3 linked regions of the Danio rerio genome follow. The protein of the gene in region 1 interacts with the protein of each later gene in a pairwise test. Links are inferred from orthologs where the notes say so. Each region holds a gene or a part of one and is shown on either strand. Other genes may lie near its edges.

Evidence for each region.
Region 2: the proteins of cyth1b (region 1) and itgb2 interact in a two-hybrid assay, tested with the Homo sapiens proteins (2 studies listed by BioGRID). The link is inferred for Danio rerio from reciprocal best matches to the Homo sapiens genes CYTH1 and ITGB2.
Region 3: the proteins of cyth1b (region 1) and cytip interact in binary tests that used the Homo sapiens proteins (3 or more experiments, as listed by UniProt). The link is inferred for Danio rerio from reciprocal best matches to the Homo sapiens genes CYTH1 and CYTIP.

Annotation. Positions count from the first base shown.
Region 1 is NC_133187.1:36,080,139-36,083,798, reverse strand, and holds part of cyth1b (cytohesin-1b), read right to left. Parts: intron 3,382-3,660; coding exon 3,315-3,381; intron 2,973-3,314; coding exon 2,854-2,972; intron 1-2,853. UniProt on the Homo sapiens protein: Promotes guanine-nucleotide exchange on ARF1, ARF5 and ARF6. Promotes the activation of ARF factors through replacement of GDP with GTP.
Region 2 is NC_133184.1:46,774,030-46,777,689, forward strand, and holds part of itgb2 (integrin beta-2), read right to left. Parts: intron 2,784-3,660; coding exon 2,692-2,783; intron 1,677-2,691; coding exon 1,484-1,676; intron 1,381-1,483; coding exon 1,210-1,380; intron 437-1,209; coding exon 195-436; intron 1-194.
Region 3 is NC_133184.1:5,283,717-5,288,139, forward strand, and holds the start of cytip (cytohesin-interacting protein), read right to left. Parts: upstream 2,928-4,423; 5' UTR 958-2,927; coding exon 781-957; intron 368-780; coding exon 318-367; intron 1-317. UniProt on the Homo sapiens protein: By its binding to cytohesin-1 (CYTH1), it modifies activation of ARFs by CYTH1 and its precise function may be to sequester CYTH1 in the cytoplasm.

The sequences.
Region 1 (3,660 bases):
GAATGATCAAGCGCGTGTGAATGACTTGAGTCTGTGTGGCAGCAGCATACTGTATGTTATCATAACAAAACTGTAAGTTTTATTTGAAGTGTAAAGAGTAGTGACGTTTCTACTTTCCTACAAAGAAATACTGTACATTTATCAGCAGCAAAACTATTGATTAAGGTGCGGAGAAACACAGAACAGCAGCAAGAGAACATGCTTTCTATAGAAAATAAAACAATTCTGAGGGCCAAACAATGAAATGGGTTGCCTTTTTATAATGTTGTTTGATCAATTTATTTGCTTGGTCAGCTTCTTTGTGGAACCTTTGAAAGTTCACAAATCCCTCAGAGTAGTGATATGGAACTGTGATGTGGTCAAAACTTGCCTGGAACTACTTTATATGAAAAGAACTTTACACATCAGTATGTTCATCAACCAATCAGAATCATTCATTCAAAACCCCCATAGTTTAATATGACAATTACAATCTGTCATTTTTTCTCTCTCAACAATGCAGTTTTGACTTGCTGCCGCTAACAGTAAATACTTGCAGAATGTTGCGTTTTGGGTTAAGCTGCTCCTTTAGTTTTAGTGCAATCATGCACATCTATAATTACACTGATGGAGGAAAATTAATCCTGTATACCTTTCCTTCCTGCTCTGACAGCTCCCTGATGGCCTGGCACTGACATTGAGTTTCAGTCCATCAATAAAGTGTAAGCTGACCCTTAATGCGAAACACAGCACTTTCATATGGGCACAGGCCATTGTGATGAACTAGATAATGGCCTTTGACAGACTGTAGTGTATCAGAGTGGAACGGCTTATGATCAGTGATGTCATTCTCCCTCGAGCTCTGATTCTGGAAATAGCAGATTTAGCTCTTTAAAATGGACAAGATCTGTTTAACTTACATGAACATGGTAATGTTTGATAGAAAGCAAGATCACTGACTTATTGCTTTCTTTTTTTCTGTACAAATAATGTTTTATTTTATAGTGAAATAATTATTGTCGTATAATAGTACAAATATATATTATCTTAAAATACTTAATAAATAAAATATGCAATGTTATATTGAGCATTTACAAGTTTGTGTGTGTAATTTAAATTAAATATAAAATGTTAATTCATATGCATATAGATAAATATATATATATATATATATAAATATATATAAATATATATATATATATATATATATATATATATATATATATATATATATATATATATATATATATATAAAATATATATATATATATAAATATATATATATATATATATATATATATATATATATATATATATATATATATATATATATATATATATATATATATATATATAATTTATTTTATACATCGGATTAACCCAAACATTTCAGACTATTGCAAAAAATTAAAAGTTGAAATTAGTACTCTGTTTCACTGTATGTGGGAGTGTGGAGAGCTGCAGTTGTTTTGGAAGGAGGTACATAGTGTGGTCTGTAAAATGTGTGAAATGGTTGAAGAATATGTTCCTTTGCAACCTAAACTTTGTTCATTACATATATATCCTGAAAAGGTGGCAGTATATGCAAACCAAAATATTCATATATATGAATTAATTATTTATGATTAATTAATTAATTCATAACGAATTAACTATTTGTAGCCTACCGTTTCTTCTATACCTGACCCGCACGGTCTTTGTTTTATACATAACCAAATCATACATAAATAAAGATAAGTTACACACAAATTAATACCTGCCATTTATTTTTTCCGCCAGACCCTGGCATTAATAGGTAGAGTGATCTGTGTTGTTATAATGGCGTCCACAAACTTTGTTGGTAAAAAAAGGTCCACAACCAACAAAAACCAACCAACAGCATATGAGGTTTTCACTAAAATTACTAAGTACAAGAGTGAAAGCGAAAGACACGTTACCTGATTGAGTCCTTACATAGAGACTAGATTAATTAAAAATAGATTTATTTCATAATAACTAGGTGAATTGCCAGTGTGGTATTATGATATACAGTACATAGTATATACATAACTACACTGAAATTAATCCAATGCTGAAAAACCAGTTGCTTCTAAATATTTTAGGGGAAAGCGTTTTTTTTAGTTCCTCTGATGAATATAAAGTTCAAAAGAACAGCATTTCTTTGAAACCTTTTCTTTTTTACATTTTTAGTGTCTTCACTGCCACTTTTGATCAATTGAACTTGTCCTTGTTGTATCTAAAATGTATATTTATGATTATCTATCTGGTCAAAATGAGAAAATTCTTTTGTTTTTAGCTAAATAAACAAAAAATATATAATAATTTTAAATAAATTAAATATACTATTATGATTAAATGAAAACAAACTTTTTCCAAACCACTTATTCTGTCATCTTCCAAACTTTGCATGCTGCTTTCTGTTGGCCAATCACATAAGAGCAAGGAGCTTGAGAGTCACACAGAGGCGTTGTTAGGCTACGTGTAAAACAAGACAAAAATAAATGAGGGCTCAGCCGATGTAGCACTATGGAGCAAAGGTGCGTTTATTTACAGTGCAAAAGTGTCTAATCCAAAAAATCCCCAAAATAAAGTAGACAAAATATATGTACAAAAATAAACAAACAACAACAAAAAAATAAATAAATAAAGACAATAAAGTAAAAAATTAAATATTTATATTTAAATATATGTATCTATTTATAGTGACCAACTCCGCCCACTATGGCTTCAACCATTTGCAGGTTTACATGTAACATATTAGACTAACACTGATTCAAGAAAGGAAGAAGCTGGTTATCCTTCATGTTCTGAACCCATTTATTAATATTTTATCAGCCCTTATAATTTACGAGCATCAGAAGGACTCATTCCTACCTTTCACCCAGATAATCTCCGATGGCGGTCTTGTTGAGCCCTTCACCCTTGTAGAGGAATTGAGCAATATCTTCACAAGTGTTTTTCAGCAACTCGTTCTCGATGAGGAACTGAATCCCCTGAGAAAACACAACATTCAGCATTAATGTCTTCCTACATGCATGTATTATAACTTCAGTTTCAGGTTGGTGATATTCTTGCTCTCTCCCAGCTCTTAAAAATGAAACCCATGAGGTTGGAAAAATGGAAATAAACTGGGAAAAGTGTGGTTGTGTGATGCTTAGCGACAAAGCTTGTGGGTTTATGCTAATTTGTGAACCCATAAAAGATCACAGGCTTAAAAATGCAAAATGCCAATGGATGTTATGTAATGGGAATCATTTGATTTGCCATAAGCATATCAGGGAGTCTTCATGATTTAGAAAACCTGCTTTTTATATTGCAACCTAATGCTTGTTTACCTTTTTGGGATCCATGTTAAATTTCTTGCGGCCCATAGCCATCTGCTTACTCCGCTGCATGTTTATTCTGAAAACACAGATAGAGAAGAGGGCTTTATTAATGCTGGGGAGGTTTGTTTAAAAAAAAATTGCAATCTAAAACTTGAGGAGCAGAGTTGCACAACACTGAGCTGCACAATTCGGAAAATAGTGTGAGGATCACATTTTTGGGGGTTAAAATAGAGATCATGATTCCCCACAGAATTCACAATAGAGAACCGAAAGGGATAGTTCTGGCAAGTATGAAATATTTCTTACTTTTTTTTTTTTACATTTTTAATGTCCTGATGCCACTTTCCATTAATTG
Region 2 (3,660 bases), on another chromosome or scaffold:
CAGCACCTTTAAAAATGTTTTCTGAGAAAAATGGTGACATTTTCAATACTTACTTCCCCCACTGTAAACTATTGTTTCTTTGCATTGTGTACAACGAAGCACAAAAACATTGTTTACATGATTTATAAACAACTCTTAAGCACATAATATGGATAATGTAACCTGTTAAAATGTCTGTCAAAAATGTGTCTCACCAGGCAGACGGCAGCTTGCATGATGGCATCCAGGCTTCCCTCTGGAGGGTCCAGGTTTCCAGATATATGCTGCTGCTTTACCAATTCTTTGAAGTCGTTCCCATTTGCTGTGAGTGGAAGCACGTGCTGAAAGCCAAATGCTGGCTGACATGGTTCATTTTTATCCGAGCAGGGGTGTTTAAGTTTGGCTTCATTGGTGTCGGTGTATGGAAGAAGTGTTTTGTCAACAAACGAACCGAATCCTGTATTAGGAAAGGTTGGTTAATGAAGCCATTGCAACTTTTCAAAGTGCAACTCCAAAATGTGCAATATAATATATTGGGAGCACTTTACTTAAAGGGGGTGTTCATAAGACTGTCATGAAACCTTTATATCACATCATGAATATGAAGGACATTCCATGCATGCTTATGACAGCTGTCATTAGGTGTCGTTTGCTTAGTTATGTCATTTTAAATGTAAAGGTAAGAATCAAATGTTCTTGTTATGACAACTTGACATAACCAAACACATCACAACCTGTCTTTGTCATGACAACTTGACATTACCAAGACAACAAAACTTGTCGTAAATCTGTCATACTGTAATTTAAATTGTCATGAGGCCATTAGAATTGTCATTAATTTTGAAACTGCAATTAACTACAGTGGTACAAATTGAATTTGTCATTCAAATGTAATTAAATGTCATTAGATATTAATAACAATGTTATAAAATTATTTGACAGAGTATTGACACTTTTAATTTTGAATGTAATGGCAAGCAAAAAAAATCCACTGAAATATTTCAACAGAAAAATATTAATGACAATTATAATGGCCGTATGACAAGACTAATATATGACAAGTTATGTTGACTTGGTAATGCAAGTTGTCATGACAAAGACACTGATAGATTGTTGTCTTGGAAATGTCAGTTATAATGTATTTGTTTATCAAATTGTCATAACAAACACATCTCAAACATTGTCATCTTTTTTAAGTAAAGTGTTACCAATATATGCATATGCTCTTACCTATTCTGGCATTGCCAGTGATTCTATTGAGCTTTTCAAGTATATCATTTCCCAGGTTTTTTACATTCGCCAAATCGTCTTTCATAGAGTATGACAGATCCATCAGGTAGTAAAGATCTACAGGATAACCTTCTGCCCTTTTAAAACGTAGTTGAAAAGTTTGGGGCATCCCTGAGAGAAAAAAAAGCAGTCATTACCATGTCCAAACATACAGTATATTGTAAAGGCCACTGGTTTGTTTGAGATATTGTTGATTTATATGGATATAAAATACCTGGTCTAAGATTGAGTTGTATTTCTTGGGGTTGGATTTGCACTGGGTCTTTACCAGCAACCAGAGCTTTGTTCACAACATTTTGAAAAATGTTTTGAGGATTTATGATGTTCTCTTTGCTACATCCTCTGTCTAAAAGCAACTTGACAGTGTCACAACGTGCTGCTTCCTGCTCTCCAGTCTTGGTGAAATTCTGTGGTTTGAAAAACGCAGAAAGTAGAAGGGAGTGACATGCCAGCCAGTCATTATATTTTCAGCTCATTTAAATGCAGCTACTGTTTTTACATTACTGTGATAGTTGGGTTTAGGGTTGGGGTGGGGGTAAAGGTTAATAAAATACAATAAATGGGAAATTTAATAAAAAATATATATAATTGTTAAATTTTCAGCAACCATATCCGATCTAGCAACAACCTATAAAACAATTAAGTTGTCCCAAATAATATCAAGAGTTGTTGTTTCAGCTCATTCTAAATACACTCACCGGCCACTTTATTAGGGACACCTGTCCTACTGCTCATTAATACAAATTTCTTATCAGAATTGGGCGTCAACAACATGAAAGCATGGATCCATCCTGCCTTCTATCACCGGATCAGGCTGGTTATGGCTGTGTAATGATGTGGGGGATTTTCTTAGCACACATTGGGCCCATTAGTACCATTTGAGCATTGTGTCACTGTATTGTTGTTGACCATGTCCATCCCTTTATGACCACAGTGTACCCATCATCTGATGACTACTCCCAGCAAGATAACGTGCCATGTCATAAAGTATGAATCATCTCAGACTGTTTTTTTGAACATAACAATGAGTTCACTTTACTCAAATGGTCTCCACAGTCACCAGATCCTCAATCCAATAGAGCACCTTTGGGTTGTGGTGGAATGGGATTCGCATCATGCATGTGCAGCCAATAAATCAGAAGCAACTGCATGAGGATTAAGACAGTTCTGAAGGCAAAAGGGGGTCCAACTAGGTACTAGGTGAATGCAATAACAAACTGCCCACTTTATGTATCATCTTAATGCATTATATTTGGACAGTAAGCTGTAAAGTGGCTAGACATCATGCTATATAATAAATCAGCATTAAATATATTCATAAATTTAAACTGTCATTAAACAGTCAGTCATTTTATGAGGGCAGATTCACCAATGAAAATGCATTTCAGCAGTATTAAAAATAGAACCATTAACTGTACTTACCAACTCTTTACACCATGCACAGCCAGGTCCAGACTTGATGCAGTCTCCACATGTGTTTACTGAAGCTTTTAAGCATTGCTCCTGTGTGTAGACTTCAAGAATAGTTCGAACGTTAATTACACTTTGAAACAGCCTGCTTTATTTGCATGATTTAGCATCTAGATATTTGCTTTGTTTTCATTAGTGTAGTTAAAAGACACACATAAATTTGATTTTGTTCCAAAACCTAGTGTGCCATCTACATGGCTTTTTATTGCAATTTATTGAAAGACTTTTCCAAATATTAGGCAATATGTATGTATCTAGTTTTGTAAAATACCATTTTCACATCCTAAAGAAAATATTAGTAAGTATAGAGTATGCTACCATTCAAAAATTTGGGGTTTTAAAAATGCTTTAAAAAATGTTGTGTTCAACAAGGCTGGGCATATAATATTTGATCACAGTTAACTAAAAATATAAATATTGGGAAATAATATTTTTTAAAATACACTTTTCTTTCTGAAATTATTTTAGTATGTAGTTTTATTTTTGTATTTATTCATGTGATGGCATAGGTGAAATTTCAGCATTATTATAGTCTTCAAAGTCACACAATCCTCCAGAAATATATATATATATATATATATATATATATATATATATATATATATATATATATATATATATATATATATATATATATATATATATATATATATTTTTTTTTTTTTAATATATATATATATATATATATATATATATATATATATATATATATATATATATATATATATATATATATATATATATATATATATATATATATATATATATATATATATATATATATATATGGTGATTAATTTAATACTTAGTTAATAGATTTTGGCATATATTAATATATATTAAAATGCCTTATTTTCAAATATTTCTATCTCTACTAAATATTGTCCTATCCTAATAAATCAAACATGAATAGTTTATTCA
Region 3 (4,423 bases), on another chromosome or scaffold:
CATTTGTTAGTAGACTGTCTGCTTAATATCTGAAGCTAAACAGACATTTAAATGACTGTAAGAAACTTTGCAAGTACATGTCAACACTAACCCCAACCTAACAGTCTACTTATAATCTGTTAAGAATTAGTTTGCAGATGCAATGTTACTTAAATTCAACAAATGAACCATCAAAATAAAGCGTGACAAGGCAAACAGGAAAGTAGTTGTTGATTGCTGGTGTAGTTCTACTTGATTCAGTTCAGTTTCATGCAAATGTCACTGTAGAAGTTCAGTTCAGTTTACCATCAGACATTCATAACGAAGTGTATCATTACCTCTGAGGATCAGTATAATCCACCAGTGAATTTGAGTGTGTTCTGGCCAACTGAAAATGAAAACAAATCCCAGATTAATTCAATCTGCAGTACTAGTTTACAATTCAGTGATTTAAACCAGGGTTGCCCAAACTCGGTCCTGAAGGCCCGGTGTCCTGCAAAGTTTAGTGCTAGACACACTATCAGACATACCCGGGCTAGCTAATCAAGCTCTTACTAGGCTTTCTAGACATTCTTGCAGGTGTGTTGAGGCAAGTTGGAGCTAAAATCTGCAGGACACCAACCCTCCAGGGCTGATTTTGGACACCCCTGATCTAAACCATCTAAAAATTCTAAAAAAATTCCCAAACATCTGTACAAAATTAATTAAGAACGACATTTTTTAATTATAATTCAAAACTTGCTGCATTCATGTTGTCATGAACGTAACTATTAAGAATACATAGCATTTAGTTCATCCCACCTGACTCTGTGACAATGTCCTGCCTTTCATCCCTTCAGTGTTCAGATTTTTGGGACTGCTGAAAGAGCGCTGTCGCCACAGTATGCTTCTCTTCTTTTGAGAGCTGTCGATTATGTAGCTGTCCAGGCTGCTCATCTGTTTTAAAGGCATTTTAAAGTTCCTATTGGATGTCATCATGCCTCATTCACAGAAGCGCTGCACACAACTGCAGGCATCAGTGTGAATTCGCACAACTGCAGTCTACAGCGGATATAGCCACATCACGTGAATGTCAGGAACTAAAGACATCTGCCAGTTTCCTTTTTAAGCTTTGAGCTCTTGTGAATTTGCAGTAGTCTGAGAACAAACATGCAGGATGAGTTTTGTCATATCACCCCAATTTTATCCTCCTTACACTGGCTGCCTGTTAAGATTCGTATTGCATTTAAAATATTGCTTCTTACCAATAAAGCTTTAAATAATCTAGCTCCTGTTTATTTAACTAACTAACTTTAACTCGCTCTTTAAGATTTCAAAACTCAGGGCTTCTGGTAGAACCTAGAATAGCAAAGTCAAGTAAAGGAGGTTGAGCCTTCTCATTTATGGCTCCTAAACTCTGGAATAGCCGTCCTGATAACTCAAAACTAGATTAAAGACCTATCTGTTTAGTAAAGCATACACTTAGCAGGTTTCCACACAGGTTTCTGCATCTTGTTTACATACACTATGAACAACAGCTATGCTAATTATTCTCCATTTCCACCTGGAGATACTCATCCCTAGGCCCTCAGACCATGCAGAGTCATTGATTCAACCCAAGACCAGCGACGAGATGCTCCCAAGGTTTCCATATCCTGGACCAGGCCGTATCCTGAGCAGCTACTGTGGTGGTCATGGAGGAGTGAAGAGCATTAGACTGATTCCTGTGACGCTCCAGGGACAAACGAGTCTACGCTGAGGCCAGCTTCCAGCCTCCGCTGCTGAGGCCCCGTTTACACTAATGCGTTTTAGTTTGAAAACGCATAAGTTTTGCTACGGTTACGCCAACCGTCCACACTACGCCGGCGTTCTCGAGCGCCGAAAACGGAGCGTTTCGAAAACGCTAGAGAGGCCGTTTTCATTCTGAAACGCTGCTGCTCCGTCTCAGTGTGGATGATGGAAAACGGAGACATCTGAAAACGGAGGCGGGGCTGCAGACATTCGCCTCTCTGATTGGGGCTTTTCCTGAATATTAAGTAGCCTAACACACACAGTTCAGTCCTGCATCCTCTCCTTGTAAATTCAGACTTCGCAAGTTTGATCAAGGCTGCAGTCTCTTCTTCTCAGTTTGATATGGAAAACAGACTATACCGAGGACACGGGTAAATATTCAAAGGGAACAGTGTACTTTATAACTTCATTCACCCTGGCTACGTTGTTTCACTTTCTCAACAATAAAACGTAAACATGATTAAACTGTCTATCTTCATTTTAATATTAGCAACTTAACAGACAGCAGAAATGTTGAGGCGCCGTGCGGCATAATATCAGCGTCATCTTCACTGTGTGTATGTTTATAACAAAACAGAGCCTATAACAACTGCCTCCTTTAAATTTCAGTGAAAATATGAAACACACCCTCTCTTTTGCTGAATATCAGTTTTACTAATCGATAATGGCCATTATTAAGTTTATACATTATAGGAAATAAAGGCAAGCGATCAGTCAATATACAGAATAGGCTACGTGGTTACATTAATCATTAACTTATCTTTGCGGTCAGCCAAAACACGTTACCTGTGAACAAGTAATAGATTCCAATGCCCAAAGTCAGGGAATATGTTGTTAGATAAAGACAACAAGATGAATGAAATATCACGTTTAATAAATATGAGATTAGATCCAGCGGGAGATGCTTGATAAGAAGTCCGACTAGCACAGCTCTCATCTGGGTAGATGGGCTGCAGCGCTTGCCCAAGAGAGTATGTGGTCACGTGATGTGCGTTTTCAGCGTTTTGGTGTGGACGGAGAGCAGTTCAGAAACCCTGGGTAAAACGCGAGTGTGGACGCGGATCGTTTTCATTCTAAAACGCCGTTTTAAAACTAAAACGCACTAGTGTAAACGGGGCCTGAGACTGCAGCTCTGTACAAGACGTTTGGCCAGCGGAGAAATCGCAATGGTCGTGCCCAACTGAGTCTGTTTTTTTTATCTGCACAACTCTGGTTTACTTTGCACTCATTTGCTATATGCCCTTAATGTCATTGTATCAATCATAAGCTAAGTGTGAACTCTTGAAACTTACTTTAAGCTGTTTTGACACAATCTACACTGTAAAAATGCTATGGAAATAAAAATGAATTGAACTGAATTGAATTCAAGTATGAGTGGGCACAGCCATTGGAATCATTTTGGCTTGAGGCTTCTGGTCTCATGATTCCTTGTTCTGTAGCTAACAGGGAAAAAAAAATAAGAGGACTTATAATACTGACCTTATATGTTTTAAAAAATAAACTTTTTTTCCAGCCGAAATAATACCAAACTTTCTACAAAAGAAAAAATATTACAGGACAAAATGTTCTTAATCTGATATCACTTGAGAAATAATAAAATAATAATAATAATAATAATAATAATATTTCACAGGTGGGATAATAATTTTGCTCTCCACTCTAAGTCTTTCTGCTTTTTATGTATAGTCATGAACACACTTGTTTGTAAAGAATGTAGTTTGGCCCTTTTTCTGCCATTTATTATATTCCTAGTCATTTCTGTGTAAAATAGTCACCTCTGTGTCACATGCAGACTTCTCAGAGATGTTAACACGTTTACATACTCCAGCACATTCCTGACAAAGGCTCAGGATCTTCTGAATGGAGAAATACAAGCTAAACATGGCACAAAAAAACAAAAAACAAAAAAACAAACAGTGGGCTAAAAACCTTGCTGTAGATCAACATCTTTGGAGTACAACAGCACATGGGCAAATCCATACATCTGTACCTCCAAACAAACAAACAAACAATCACACTGCAAAAAAATGCTTTTCTTACTTGGATTTATTGTCTTGTTTCTAGTCGAAATATCTAACAATTCCTAAATCAAGAAGAATTTTATAGACAAGCAAAACATACTGTCTTGTTTTGAGAAATAAAATGCCAATATTAAGTGAGTTTTTCCGTAAAACAAGCAAAATAATCTGCCAATGGGGTAAGCAAAATAATCTTACGTCAAAAGAAAAAACAAGATTAATTTGCTTACCCCATTGGCAGATTATTTTGCTTGTTTTACGGAAAAACTCACTTAATATTGGCATTTTATTTCTCAAAACAAGACAATTTGTTTTGCTTGTCTAGAAAATGCTTCTTGATATAAGAAATTTTAGATATTTAGACTAGAGATAAGACAAAAAATCTAAGCAAGAAAAGCATTTTTTGCAGTGCAAACAAACAAATGATCAACAAAGAAACAGATAGAAAGGAACAGAGTAAGAAAGAAAGCACCTTTGTGACTGAAAGGAATTGTAGACGGAGACAACTTCAGAGATTTGGCTGTCGAAATGTAAGAAAAATAATTAAAACTGTAAAAAAAAAAAAAAAAAAACATTGTGGGCTGTAACTCTTTGAACATCAAACTGGTCCAGGAAACATGAGGTGTGCCATATTGTCAAGTCTTAAACATGATTAA